Linked DNA regions of Arabidopsis thaliana. The protein of the gene in region 1 interacts with the protein of each later gene in a pairwise test. Each region holds a gene or a part of one and is shown on either strand. Other genes may lie near its edges. The genes, in order: AT5G01160, LBD27 and NAC063.

The links.
Region 2: the proteins of AT5G01160 (region 1) and LBD27 interact in a two-hybrid assay, tested with the Arabidopsis thaliana proteins (one large-scale study listed by BioGRID).
Region 3: the proteins of AT5G01160 (region 1) and NAC063 interact in a two-hybrid assay, tested with the Arabidopsis thaliana proteins (one large-scale study listed by BioGRID).

What each region holds. Positions count from the first base shown.
Region 1 is NC_003076.8:52,064-55,819, forward strand, and holds the start of AT5G01160 (RING/U-box superfamily protein), read left to right. Parts: upstream 1-1,792; 5' UTR 1,793-2,133; exon of another isoform or gene 2,134-2,211; 5' UTR 2,212-2,216; coding exon 2,217-2,471; intron 2,472-2,593; coding exon 2,594-2,652; intron 2,653-2,895; coding exon 2,896-3,664; 3' UTR 3,665-3,756. Other genes in the region: AT5G01150 (hypothetical protein (DUF674)), read left to right, coding at 1-560, 645-1,376, 1,449-1,586. UniProt on the Arabidopsis thaliana protein: Probable E3 ubiquitin-protein ligase which is a subunit of the N6-methyltransferase complex, a multiprotein complex that mediates N6-methyladenosine (m6A) methylation at the 5'-[AG]GAC-3' consensus sites of some mRNAs.
Region 2 is NC_003074.8:17,659,294-17,663,049, reverse strand, and holds LBD27 (LOB domain-containing protein 27), read left to right. Parts: upstream 1-1,695; 5' UTR 1,696-2,042; coding exon 2,043-3,029; 3' UTR 3,030-3,037; intron 3,038-3,131; 3' UTR 3,132-3,370; downstream 3,371-3,756.
Region 3 is NC_003074.8:20,463,028-20,466,783, forward strand, and holds NAC063 (NAC domain containing protein 63), read left to right. Parts: upstream 1-2,067; 5' UTR 2,068-2,187; coding exon 2,188-2,365; intron 2,366-2,463; coding exon 2,464-2,762; intron 2,763-2,847; coding exon 2,848-3,213; 3' UTR 3,214-3,392; downstream 3,393-3,756. Other genes in the region: SAP130a (Cleavage and polyadenylation specificity factor (CPSF) A subunit protein), read left to right, coding at 1-520, 618-1,109, 1,197-1,334.

The DNA.
Region 1 (3,756 bases):
CTGAAGCTTGTAGGGATTTTGTTGATGTACTCTTCAGCCTTCTGACACTTCCAATGGGAACCATTGTCAGATTGCTTGAGAATCATCGAAAATCTGAGCCAGTAACTCTGGGCTGTTTTAACAATCTCTATAGAAGTGTTGTGGACATGGGCAGTGATTGTTTTGAGACTGAAGCTTGTAAGCAGATGCTTGTGTATCCGAAGAGTGTGAAAGACCTCCAGTGCAAAAGGCTTAAGCTCAACATAAACCCTACTGAGGACATCAAGTGTTTTAAGTGCTCAAGTTACTGCGGCTTGTACAGTAATTTCAGCACCTCTAAATGTCGTTGCGGAAAATTTATGAACGAGGAGATTCAGTTAGAAAACGAGGAACAAGATTTAGGCCGGTTTCAAGATGATGATAATGGAGTATTTGTCAGCGGTAGGTGTTCATTCGTCTTAACCGATGACTTGGAAGTGTCAGTCAAGTCCACTGAACTTGTCTTGAATAAGCTCAAATCCTTAGGTTGTGCTGATGTTGGTAAGCTCGGTGAAAGGCTTCTTGATATTGGTGTGAAAGAGGTATGTTAGTTAGTTTATTCTTCAAGCGTTTGTGTTATCATTACTTTATTAGTTCTCTCTTACTATATCTGAATCTTGGACTAGGTACTGACTCTGCTGGGATGTATATTCTCCTCAAATGCTCCCTTAAAGGACATTTTCTTGAACAAGAAGATTACACAAGGTGCGACGAAGTTTTACAAATCGCAAAGTCCATGTTTGGAGAAAAAAGAAGATGAAGCAGAACCTGAAAAGGTAGTAACTTTGAAAGCATTTGTGAGGAAGCAGGACATGAAGATTTTATTTGTTGAATGCGGAGAGGAATTTGTTGAGCTTCTTTTCTCTTTTATTGCTGTCCCGCTTGAATCTGCATGGGAAATCTCTGGCAGCAGTATCTCCTTAGGTTGCATAGGAAACATGTGTAGAACCTTCAGGGACTTAAATGAGGAGACTCAAATGTCAACTTCCACATGCGCACTTCCGTCTTTCTATAATTTCCAGATGCAACTGCCTGGTATTATCACTCAACAACCTCCGGTGTACTACCGTTACAGGCTCTACGATTACAGGCAAATGAACTATGGTTTGACTACAAACGGTAATCGAACTACTTATTACCGCAAAGACAGAATCGTTCGGGTGGATTTGAAGGATCCCAAATCCCGTGGCAGCGATAAGTCTGCTCAGGGGTTCTTGAAGAAAGCGACAAAGTGTACTGTATTAGATGATCTGACCATTACATCTATGAACTCCTGCTCCACAGTTTGTTTACTAAAGAAGTTGCAGAGTCACGCAGACGATCTAGAGGTGCAAGTAATTAGTATCAGCAATGCAGAGGTATGTTTCTGTATACCCTTTTTGATCCTGTATTCTTGAAAGGAACTTGACTGACACTTGATTTTGAATTAGGCTTTGGATTTGTTGAGAGCTTCCTTGGTGACATCCTCTGCTTTGAGCACGACATTATGGAATTTGATTGCTAAGAAACTGAAGGAGGAGACTGATTTATGGGACACGGTTTCAAAGAAAGTGAAGGAAGAGACTTGAAGAAATAGAAAGCTAGTGAGAATGAACTCTAAGTCGATTGTTGATTATGTTTTTAGAATTCCGCAAAATCTACATTACATTCCTCATGTTTTCTTCCAAGCCTTATCTTTCTTTGTAAGACTAATCAAATTATTGTTTTATGGAAATTCATCTTAATAGGGTTTTTTAAATGCAGGCAAAAACTTGCACATCTTTTTGAGTTTATAAAGCAACAAGCCTAAAATCTGGAATTTCCTAGTACGATAAGACTGAAATATACAACCATTACCAAAAAAAATGCATCCATATACAAAAGTTTATAATAAGATCCAGTTGGTATATAGTAATTGGGAATGTTGAAGACATATGAAGTGTTGATCAGAAAAAAATAAGACTTGAAGTTAATTAATGGAAACCCTCTTTCTCAGCCAGAAGACTTGAAGGCTTCTATTCTCCTCCGTTGCCCACAAAAACAAAATTTGCTTCGCCGTTTTCGGCTCCGGCGTGATTCTTGAGAAGAACTGAAGTAGAGAGAGAGATCTGAAATCTCAATCTCCGATTTAACTTGGTAACTAGAGAAGCTTTTGATTCCTATTCTTTCTTTTGATTTGTATTTCTTAGGGTTCCGTTCATGTAACTTTTACAGCGACAATGCTTCAAATTCGTCTTCGGAGGGATTCCCCGACGGAAACTGGAAATGGTGCGAGGCCTTCTCCGACGGAGACGGTTACTGTAGCCTGTCCCGACCATCTCGTCCTCGCCGATCTTCCTGTTGCGAAAGGAATCGGTTCCGTGACTCCCACCACCGTAATCAAGCCCGTCGGTCGTCGTTCTCGCCGTCAGCTAGGCGAGAGAGTTCACTTCTGCGTTCGTTGCGATTTTCCGATTGCAATCTATGGTCGTCTGGTAAAAAACTTCGCTTCCTTCATTGGTTTATGGCTATATTGATTTGCCTTAAAGAGTTTTTTTAAGGGGGCTCTTCTTCTATATGTGATTGAAACTTTTTTTGTTTTGTTTTGGTTTTGCAGATTCCTTGTGATCATGCCTTTTGCCTTGAATGTGCTCGCAGTGATTCCATCTGCTATCTGTAACCATCTTTAACTCTCATCGAATTTCATTAGAAGCTTTGATAGAGATACTTTAGATTGTTTGGTAATCTACAGAGACGCAGGATTATCATAGTTTGAACTAGGCTTCGAATTTCATTAGAAGCTTTGATAGAGATATTCTAGATTGTTTAGTAATCTACAGAGACATTTTAAGATTTACTAGGCGTAGCGATTATCAGACTGAAATCTTGTTGTCTCTTGTGTGTGTGATTACTGCACAGATGTGATGAGCGGATTCAGAAGATTCAAACAATCAAGATGATGGAAGGGATCTTCATCTGTGCAGCTCCTCATTGTCTTAGGTCTTTCCTGAAGAAACTTGACTTTGAAGCCCATGTCCATGACCTCCATGGAAGCCTATTACAAGCCGATGCAGAGAAAGAAGATGGTAACCAGTCAGATGTTCAGAGCACAATGCAGCAGTCTTCAGCTTCAGAATCCACCTTGCGAGCTCCTTTAAGATCCCAGCTGCAACAATCCCGTGAACTAAACAGGTCGGCGTCATTTGCAAAGTCACAGTCTGGATTTAGTCAAGTCCAGAATTACCCTCCAGATAGCGATAACTCTCGCCCTCCTGGATTCGAAACCGCTAGTCCTAAACCAGGAATCCGGTTCCCAGACTACCCCCAGCCTATGAATCTTATGCAACCGCCCAGCTTGCCCGTTCCAATGAATCAAAACCCGGGTTTACCACAGCAGTTTGGTTTTCCTTCGTATCCAACAACAGAGAGTGGATCATCTCAACAATTCTTTAACGGTGCTCAGTACGAGATGACAAGAACAGAGAGCGGCGGATCAGAACAAAGTTCATTGCTCGGGTATCCCCCGCCTTCACCAATGACGAATCTGAATTTCCAAGGATCGTATCCTCCTCCATCATGGAATCCCGGAATGGCACCGCCTCACACGACCCAGCAGGTTAACCGGGGTAGAGACGGTCAAAGTTTTGGGTGGCCACAAGAGAACCGTGATGGCTTTGGGCAGGAGTAAGAGTAGTCTAGTTTGAATTTGTGCAATGTTAAACTCGTCGTTTGAAAGTTTCAAGTACTTTTGTTTCTAAAAACTGTGTCGTTTGTTGTTGG
Region 2 (3,756 bases), on another chromosome or scaffold:
TTTTCTATTTTTTCTCAGAGCCCAAATAATATTTTTTAATTATTTTGTCTGTAAGTTCATGTTTTTCTAAAGCACAATTTTATGGTCTTTAGAAGGTCTATACCTTCTTTCTCTTTTTTTCACTTTTTTCTCATTTTTTTAAAAAACATTACTATAGTTTTCATATATATATATATATATTAAATTTAGTTTTATGGATATAAATAATAGGTAAATATCTACTTTATGACATATATATAACTTACATTGTTTATATATATATATTAAATTGATATTTGTGAATTCTATTATATAACACATAAGTACAATTTACCAATAATATTTTTTTGTTTAAATATACAGACAACCATGATCTTATTTCTACAACCAATTTCTTCAAGTAATAATATTAAATTAATAAAATCTACAGCCTAATTTCTACAGCAATAAAATCTATGGCTACAGTCATCACACATACAACAAAAATTCTACAGCAAAAATCTACAGTTACAGATGAACCAATCACACACTTAATGACTTTAAAAATATATTGAAAGTAGATAAATTAAAGATTTTCAATGATTACTAGAGAGTTTTGCATAATTTCTATGATTAGTTTTTCCAAAATCTTTTTAGGGGTTGTTATTGTTTGTGATTTATATGGATTTTTAGTGACTTGAAATGTCATGAAATTTTTTTTGTTATTCAATTAAAATTTTATAAGACTCTGTTAAAGTTTGGTGTTGTTAGATTTTGATTTGTAAAAAGTAACTTAAAGTCTTTGTAAATCTGGAGTTATTTGATTCATATTTTAATACAGTCATTACAAATTTTGTGTTATTCAACTTAAACAGTTTTCATGATTGTTAATGATTTAAAATATTGTGTTATTGGATTATGATTTTATACTCTTTTCTTCACAAATTAAAATCATGAAAAGTATCACAAAAAGAGAGAGATTGTGAATCATGACTTTGGATATAAACAAAAGCCAATGATACGAACAGATGCAGAAATCTTATTAACAGTGATGACAATATATATATTCTAATGGCTCAAGTTCCACATGTGCTCCGGTAATCTATGTGAAAATCAACACACAAACAACTTTTAGAACAAAGCAGTTTAATCTAACACATGAAAAGTAAATATCCAACAAAATATTTGAAAATAAAACTTCAAGTTCTTCATGGATGGTTCCCTGTTCATGTAACTTTACTTACGAATACCATAGTTTTTGTGTTTATGCGTGTGATTTTCACTTTAGTGGAGATACCTTCTATAGAAGATGGAAGAATAGTATACAATATTTTGGTGATATGTTATAATTTTGGAGAAATCACAAATCAAAGTTTATAATTATATTCAGGGAGATTTTACAAGATTATAAAAAGAGTTTTAATGACTTTAAAAATATATTGAAAGTAGATAAATTAAAGATTTTAAATGATTACTAGAGAGTTTTGTATAATTTCTATGATTAGTTTTTCCAAAATTTTGTAAAGTCTTCTTATCCAGGGAGATTTTACAAGATTTTCAATAATCTTGTAATTTTCAATAAAATCAATTCAATATAACTTTAGATGTTTAGTAGTTCAATTAAGATAAGACTGAACATAATAATTATTTTGTTACTCAATCCAATTTAAAACCTAAATAACTTGGTCCCAAAATTGTTTATATCAAGATGATCAAGTACAAAATTCAAAAAAACTTGATCAAGTCCAAAACTCAAAAAATAAACAAGTAAGATATATTTACTGTTATATCAAGTAAAAACAAAGCAACTATTATTAGTAAACAAAAACAAACTCAAAAACAAGAATCTCCCCTGAAGATACTCAAACAACGTTTTTTTTAATCAATCTTATAATCTGTATTTTACTTAGTCTTCTTTACTAGAGAAATATCCGGCTTATATACCAGACTACTTCTCCTTCTTCCCTTCTCTCATTTCCCAAAAACCATTAACACACAGACACACTAACGCACACATCTCTCATTTTCAAAATCCTCATTTTCATTTCTCAATTCTCCAGAGTCTCTTGTTCTGTTCCCATCGAATGAGCAATACAAAACACATCCACAAAGGGTTACAGGAGAGGCTTTTAGATCTTCTCTTGATCGCTCTTATAGTTTACATGACTCTTAAAGGCGGCACGAGTGGGGCTTGTGCCGCGTGCAAGTACCAACGTAGACGCTGCGCCGCGGACTGCCCCCTCGCGCCTTACTTCCCAGCCGAACAACCGAAACTTTTCCAAAACGTTCACAGGCTATTCGGCGTAAGAAGTATCGTCAAGATCCTCGAAAAACTAGACGAAACTCAGAAACCAGAAGCAATGAAATCAATCATCTTCCAGTCTTATGTCCGTGACCGTTCTCCTGTCCACGGTTGCCTCGGCGTCACGCAACAACTTCAATACATGATCTGGTTTGCTGAAGAAGAACTCAAAGCTGTCAATTCTCAATTACAACTATATCGCTCTCAACCACAAAACGGTCAAAATCAAAACCAAAACCATAATCATAATCAGATGATTCATGAGCTTGGTAGTGATCATAATAAGCAGCAAGAAGATGTTACATCGCAGCAGCTTGACTTGGGTATGGGACTTAACGTTAACAATAATCAGAGCAATGTCGTTACACCATTCTTTAGTTCATTATTACCAGTTTCCGAAACACAACAGCCACAAATGTCTTACACTTATAGCTGCAGTGAGGTTAACAACAATGGCTATAGTCCTCCTGCTTATAATACAGATTCGGGCAAGGAGATTCTGACCAACAATAACAATGTTTGGGGTGATCAGAATCGATTTCTGTATAACAACAACAATGGAGGAGGATACAGCAACCAAAACGAGAGCTGTCATGAGATGAAGAGTAACGGTGTAATGGCAATACAATCACAGCTCGTAAATCTGCAAATGGTATCAAATCATCAGCGAGTGGAAGAAGAAGAAGCTGATCATGAATACGATGAACTCCATCAGTTTCTTGATATCATTGACGATAGGCAATCATTTGGGGATTCTAAAGAAGCGTAGGCCTCAAGGTAGGGGTTTTTTCCTTTGTAAAACTATGAAATATGTATTTTCTTCTTCTTCTGTAGATATGGTGATTGAATTGGAGTATATTGGTGGTTGTAGCTCTGGTGGATCGTTGAAGGAACAGATTGATGAAATTGGAGAGAATGAATTGAGAAGTGCAGCTACTTGTTTCAGTCTAACCAGTGTGAATAATTGAATTGATTTCTCAATTCGTGATCCCTAATTATGCTCTCGAAATTTTGTTATACTTTTGTTGACATTTTATTATTATCTTTTAGTCAGAGACTTAAAGGTTATGAATTCAGAGTTTCTCTAATTTTAATAATATATCTTTTTGGAGTCTCTAATGAACTTGAATATTAGTGCAACGTAACTCTATTTGCTTTATTTTTCTTGGGTTTTTAACTTGTTATTCAAGGGACGCTTCTCTGCTAAAATCTAACATGGCTGAGTGAAGAAGAGAGACACAAGACAAATGTTAATGATGCATTAGCTCCCGAGGATACTCACATTACTCAGGTAATTATACTAGACTTCCACTTATTTATGAAACTCAAAAATGTAATGTTGATCTTGTGTTGAACCTTGAGGAAATAATCAAGAAACTGTGTGTGTTAGTAGGTTAGATGTTGGATCCCGAACTAATACCTAAAGTATCATGCTCCCTAGAAGCTGAAGCCATGTTCATAGGACTACACTAAGTTTTGGAAATATAGGCTACAAG
Region 3 (3,756 bases), on another chromosome or scaffold:
GAATGGTGCGGATGATGAAGATAAGGAAGACCCGCTTTCTGATGAGCAGTACGGTTATCCAAAAGCAGAGTCTGAAAAGTGGGTCTCTTGCATCAGAGTTCTTGATCCCAAGACAGCTACGACAACTTGTCTCCTGGAACTTCAGGACAACGAAGCTGCATACAGTGTCTGTACGGTGAATTTCCATGATAAAGAGTATGGTACACTGTTGGCTGTTGGTACGGTCAAAGGGATGCAGTTCTGGCCCAAGAAGAATCTAGTGGCTGGGTTCATACATATTTATAGGTTTGTGGAGGATGGGAAATCTCTTGAGCTTCTTCATAAGACGCAAGTAGAAGGTGTTCCTCTTGCTCTGTGCCAGTTCCAAGGAAGACTGCTGGCAGGGATCGGACCTGTCCTCAGATTGTATGATTTGGGGAAAAAGAGACTGCTTAGGAAATGTGAAAACAAGCTCTTTCCAAACACCATTATCTCTATCCAAACTTACCGTGACCGTATATACGTTGGTGACATTCAGGAGGTGAGTGGTAGATCCTTTTTCCTATATATTTTACTTACTACTGTGTGCTTTGTTTTATAGAAATATCTCATGTAGCCTTTTCATTATCGTTTTGCAGTCTTTCCATTACTGCAAGTACAGGCGCGACGAGAATCAGCTGTACATATTTGCGGATGACTGCGTGCCGAGGTGGCTGACAGCATCGCACCATGTGGATTTCGATACCATGGCAGGTGCAGATAAGTTTGGGAATGTGTATTTTGTGCGGTTGCCTCAGGATCTGTCGGAGGAGATAGAAGAAGACCCGACTGGCGGGAAGATCAAGTGGGAGCAAGGAAAGCTGAATGGAGCACCGAACAAAGTGGATGAGATAGTACAGTTCCATGTTGGGGACGTTGTGACGTGCTTGCAGAAAGCTTCGATGATCCCAGGTGGATCGGAATCGATAATGTATGGAACAGTGATGGGTAGCATAGGGGCATTACATGCTTTCACATCCCGTGATGATGTGGATTTCTTCTCTCATCTGGAGATGCACATGAGGCAGGAGTATCCTCCTCTCTGCGGGAGAGACCACATGGCTTACAGATCTGCATATTTTCCGGTCAAGGTAATAAACCAAAACCCATTTGCTTTTCCTCCAAATCAAAAGAAGTCCCTTGATTTTGAATTTGACACTTTTTGCATCTTGTAACAGGACGTGATAGATGGAGATCTGTGTGAGCAGTTCCCGACACTCCCAATGGACTTGCAGAGGAAAATAGCAGACGAGCTGGATAGAACACCTGCGGAGATTCTGAAGAAGCTCGAAGACGCAAGGAACAAGATCATTTGATAACACACGAAAAGAGAGAGAGAGAGTCATTGTTTTGTTGAAGGACAAAGTAGAGAGTAGAGAAGAAAGAGGTTATAATAGATTTTGTAAAGCTCTTCAATGGTTTGTTAAACAAAACCCCGCTCTTGTGAAAACTGATGAATTAATTGCAAGTTTACTTTTGAATCTACAACAGCATGAAACAGTTGCACCGGTAAGGTTTCTTCCATATTCAGGATTCCTAGTAGCTATGGTAGTTCTTGATTCGTTCATGAGAAGCATTGAGAATTGTGAAGCAGCAGACAAGTGGGAGCCTCGCCTGTCTCAACAAAAGATCAGGAACTGCAGACGAAGAGATCTGAGTTAATTCAGAGGCTCTTAACACCAGCCATTCTCGTTGAGAGCAAAAACAAAGATTGAGGATGCAGGTGAGCTAAATGAATCTTCTGCAACATCAGACTTAAAAAGTACCTGGTAAGATACAAAAACAAAGAATTATTTCACATTTTCTGTAATCAACATTTATCTCTTTGTTAACTTTGTTAGCTAAACATGAAACTTTTCCTTTTCCAAATCTCAATCACAAATTGATTTTCAACAAATCCGATATTATCTGAATCCCATATTATCTCAAATTCGATAAATTTTATAAATCATTATATACACCGTCTTATTACATTCTTATAAATAAGAGACAATATAACTAACTAAACTAACTATATCTCTTACGAAACATACTTTTCTTTTTGTCAAAGCTCCAAAGTTACTTGATGACGATGCCTGGAAGAAACAAGCGCAAAGAAAGATCCTGGCCGGAACCGCAAACGCAACCACAGTCAGAGATTCCTTCTTGTCTTCTTTGGCAGCTGTTAACATGTCTCCTCCGTCGACGATAGCTTACGTATTACCGCCAGGTTTTAAGTTTGTGCCAAACGATGAAGAAGTCATCCATTGTTACTTGAAACCTTACTCGGACGGCAACACGAACGTATTGCTCCATGTTCCTATTCATCTCGTCAATATCTACGAGTCGAATCCACAAACACTTTCAGGTTAACTTGTCTCCGTCCATATGTATTGTTTACTTAGTTGAATTCTTTAGTTTATTAAGTTATTAACATATATCTATATATATATATTTTTGAAACAGAGGAATTCCAGAAGGGTAACGATAAAGAATGGTTTATTATAACGGAGAGGAACAAAGTTGATCAAGGTTTAAGCCAAACAAAGAGAGTTGGTTATGGTGCGAAAAGGCAGAAACGTGTCGACACTAACGGAGGATATTGGCACGCAACAGTGGCTGCCCAAAAGATCAACGCTGGAGATGGTGTCGTTCGCAACAAAAGGCCACTGGCATACTACGTTGGGAAACCATCAGAAGGCGTCAAAACTGATTGGTTAATGCAAGAATACTCTCTTGATCACTCTTCTCACAACAACGACAAGGTAAGAAGTGTTTCTTGGTTCCCAAGTTATTTAGGTTTTCAAGTTTTGGATTCTGTTTTGAGTCTTGTTTTTGTTGTGCGTCTAGGATTACACTTTGTGCAAGATCTATCTTACTCCACAAGCAACAAAGATGAATAAAGAAGTGGGAGAAGAGAAGAAGAAGCAGAAGAAAGGAGAAGCCGTTGTTTCAGTTGCACCTGTGGAAGCATTGGAAGAGCAGCTGCCTTGTAATGTCGAGTATCATCAACCGCTAGCACCGCTAGATTCTTGCCAACCGCAGCCTCATGATTTGGCGTATCAACAGCAGCAGTTTTGTCCAGGCCCACTGGATTCTTATCAACCGCAGCCTCATGATATGGAGAATCAGCAACCGCATAATGAGAAGCTGAAGAAAGAAGAAGACGTTGAGCAGCTGGATTTGCATCAACCAGACCAAGGAAAAGGATGCTAATTGATCTCTTTCCTCTATCGGCAATGTTCTCCAAAACCAGAGATAATTCTCCCTGTCTTTATTGCTTTTGATGCCTTGATATAAAACATTTATACTCAATTTGTCCAACATTTTCTTAGCGTCTTAGACTTATAAACTAACACATACAGATATAGATATAAAACACCGGTGTATTCCAGTTTCAGATTACCCAAATATAAAAAATTTGTGTTTTGATTTGTGGGTGGGTTAAAGATTTTCGTTATATAATACATTAGATCTTAAAACCAACAAATAAGTTTCTTCAAAGCCTAACTAAATATACTCTAAACAAAGTTGTAGATTTAAAGGTAAATTTGGACTTTGTTACATCAGTTTTCACAAGAGCGGGGTTTTGTTTAACAAACCATTGAAGAGCTTTACAAAATCTATTATAACCTCTTTCTTCTCTACTCTCTACTTTGTCCTTCAACAAAACATTTAGCTCACCTGCATCCTCAATCTTTGTTTTTGCTCTCAACGAGAATGGCTGGTGTTAAGAGCCTCTGAATTAACTCAGATCTC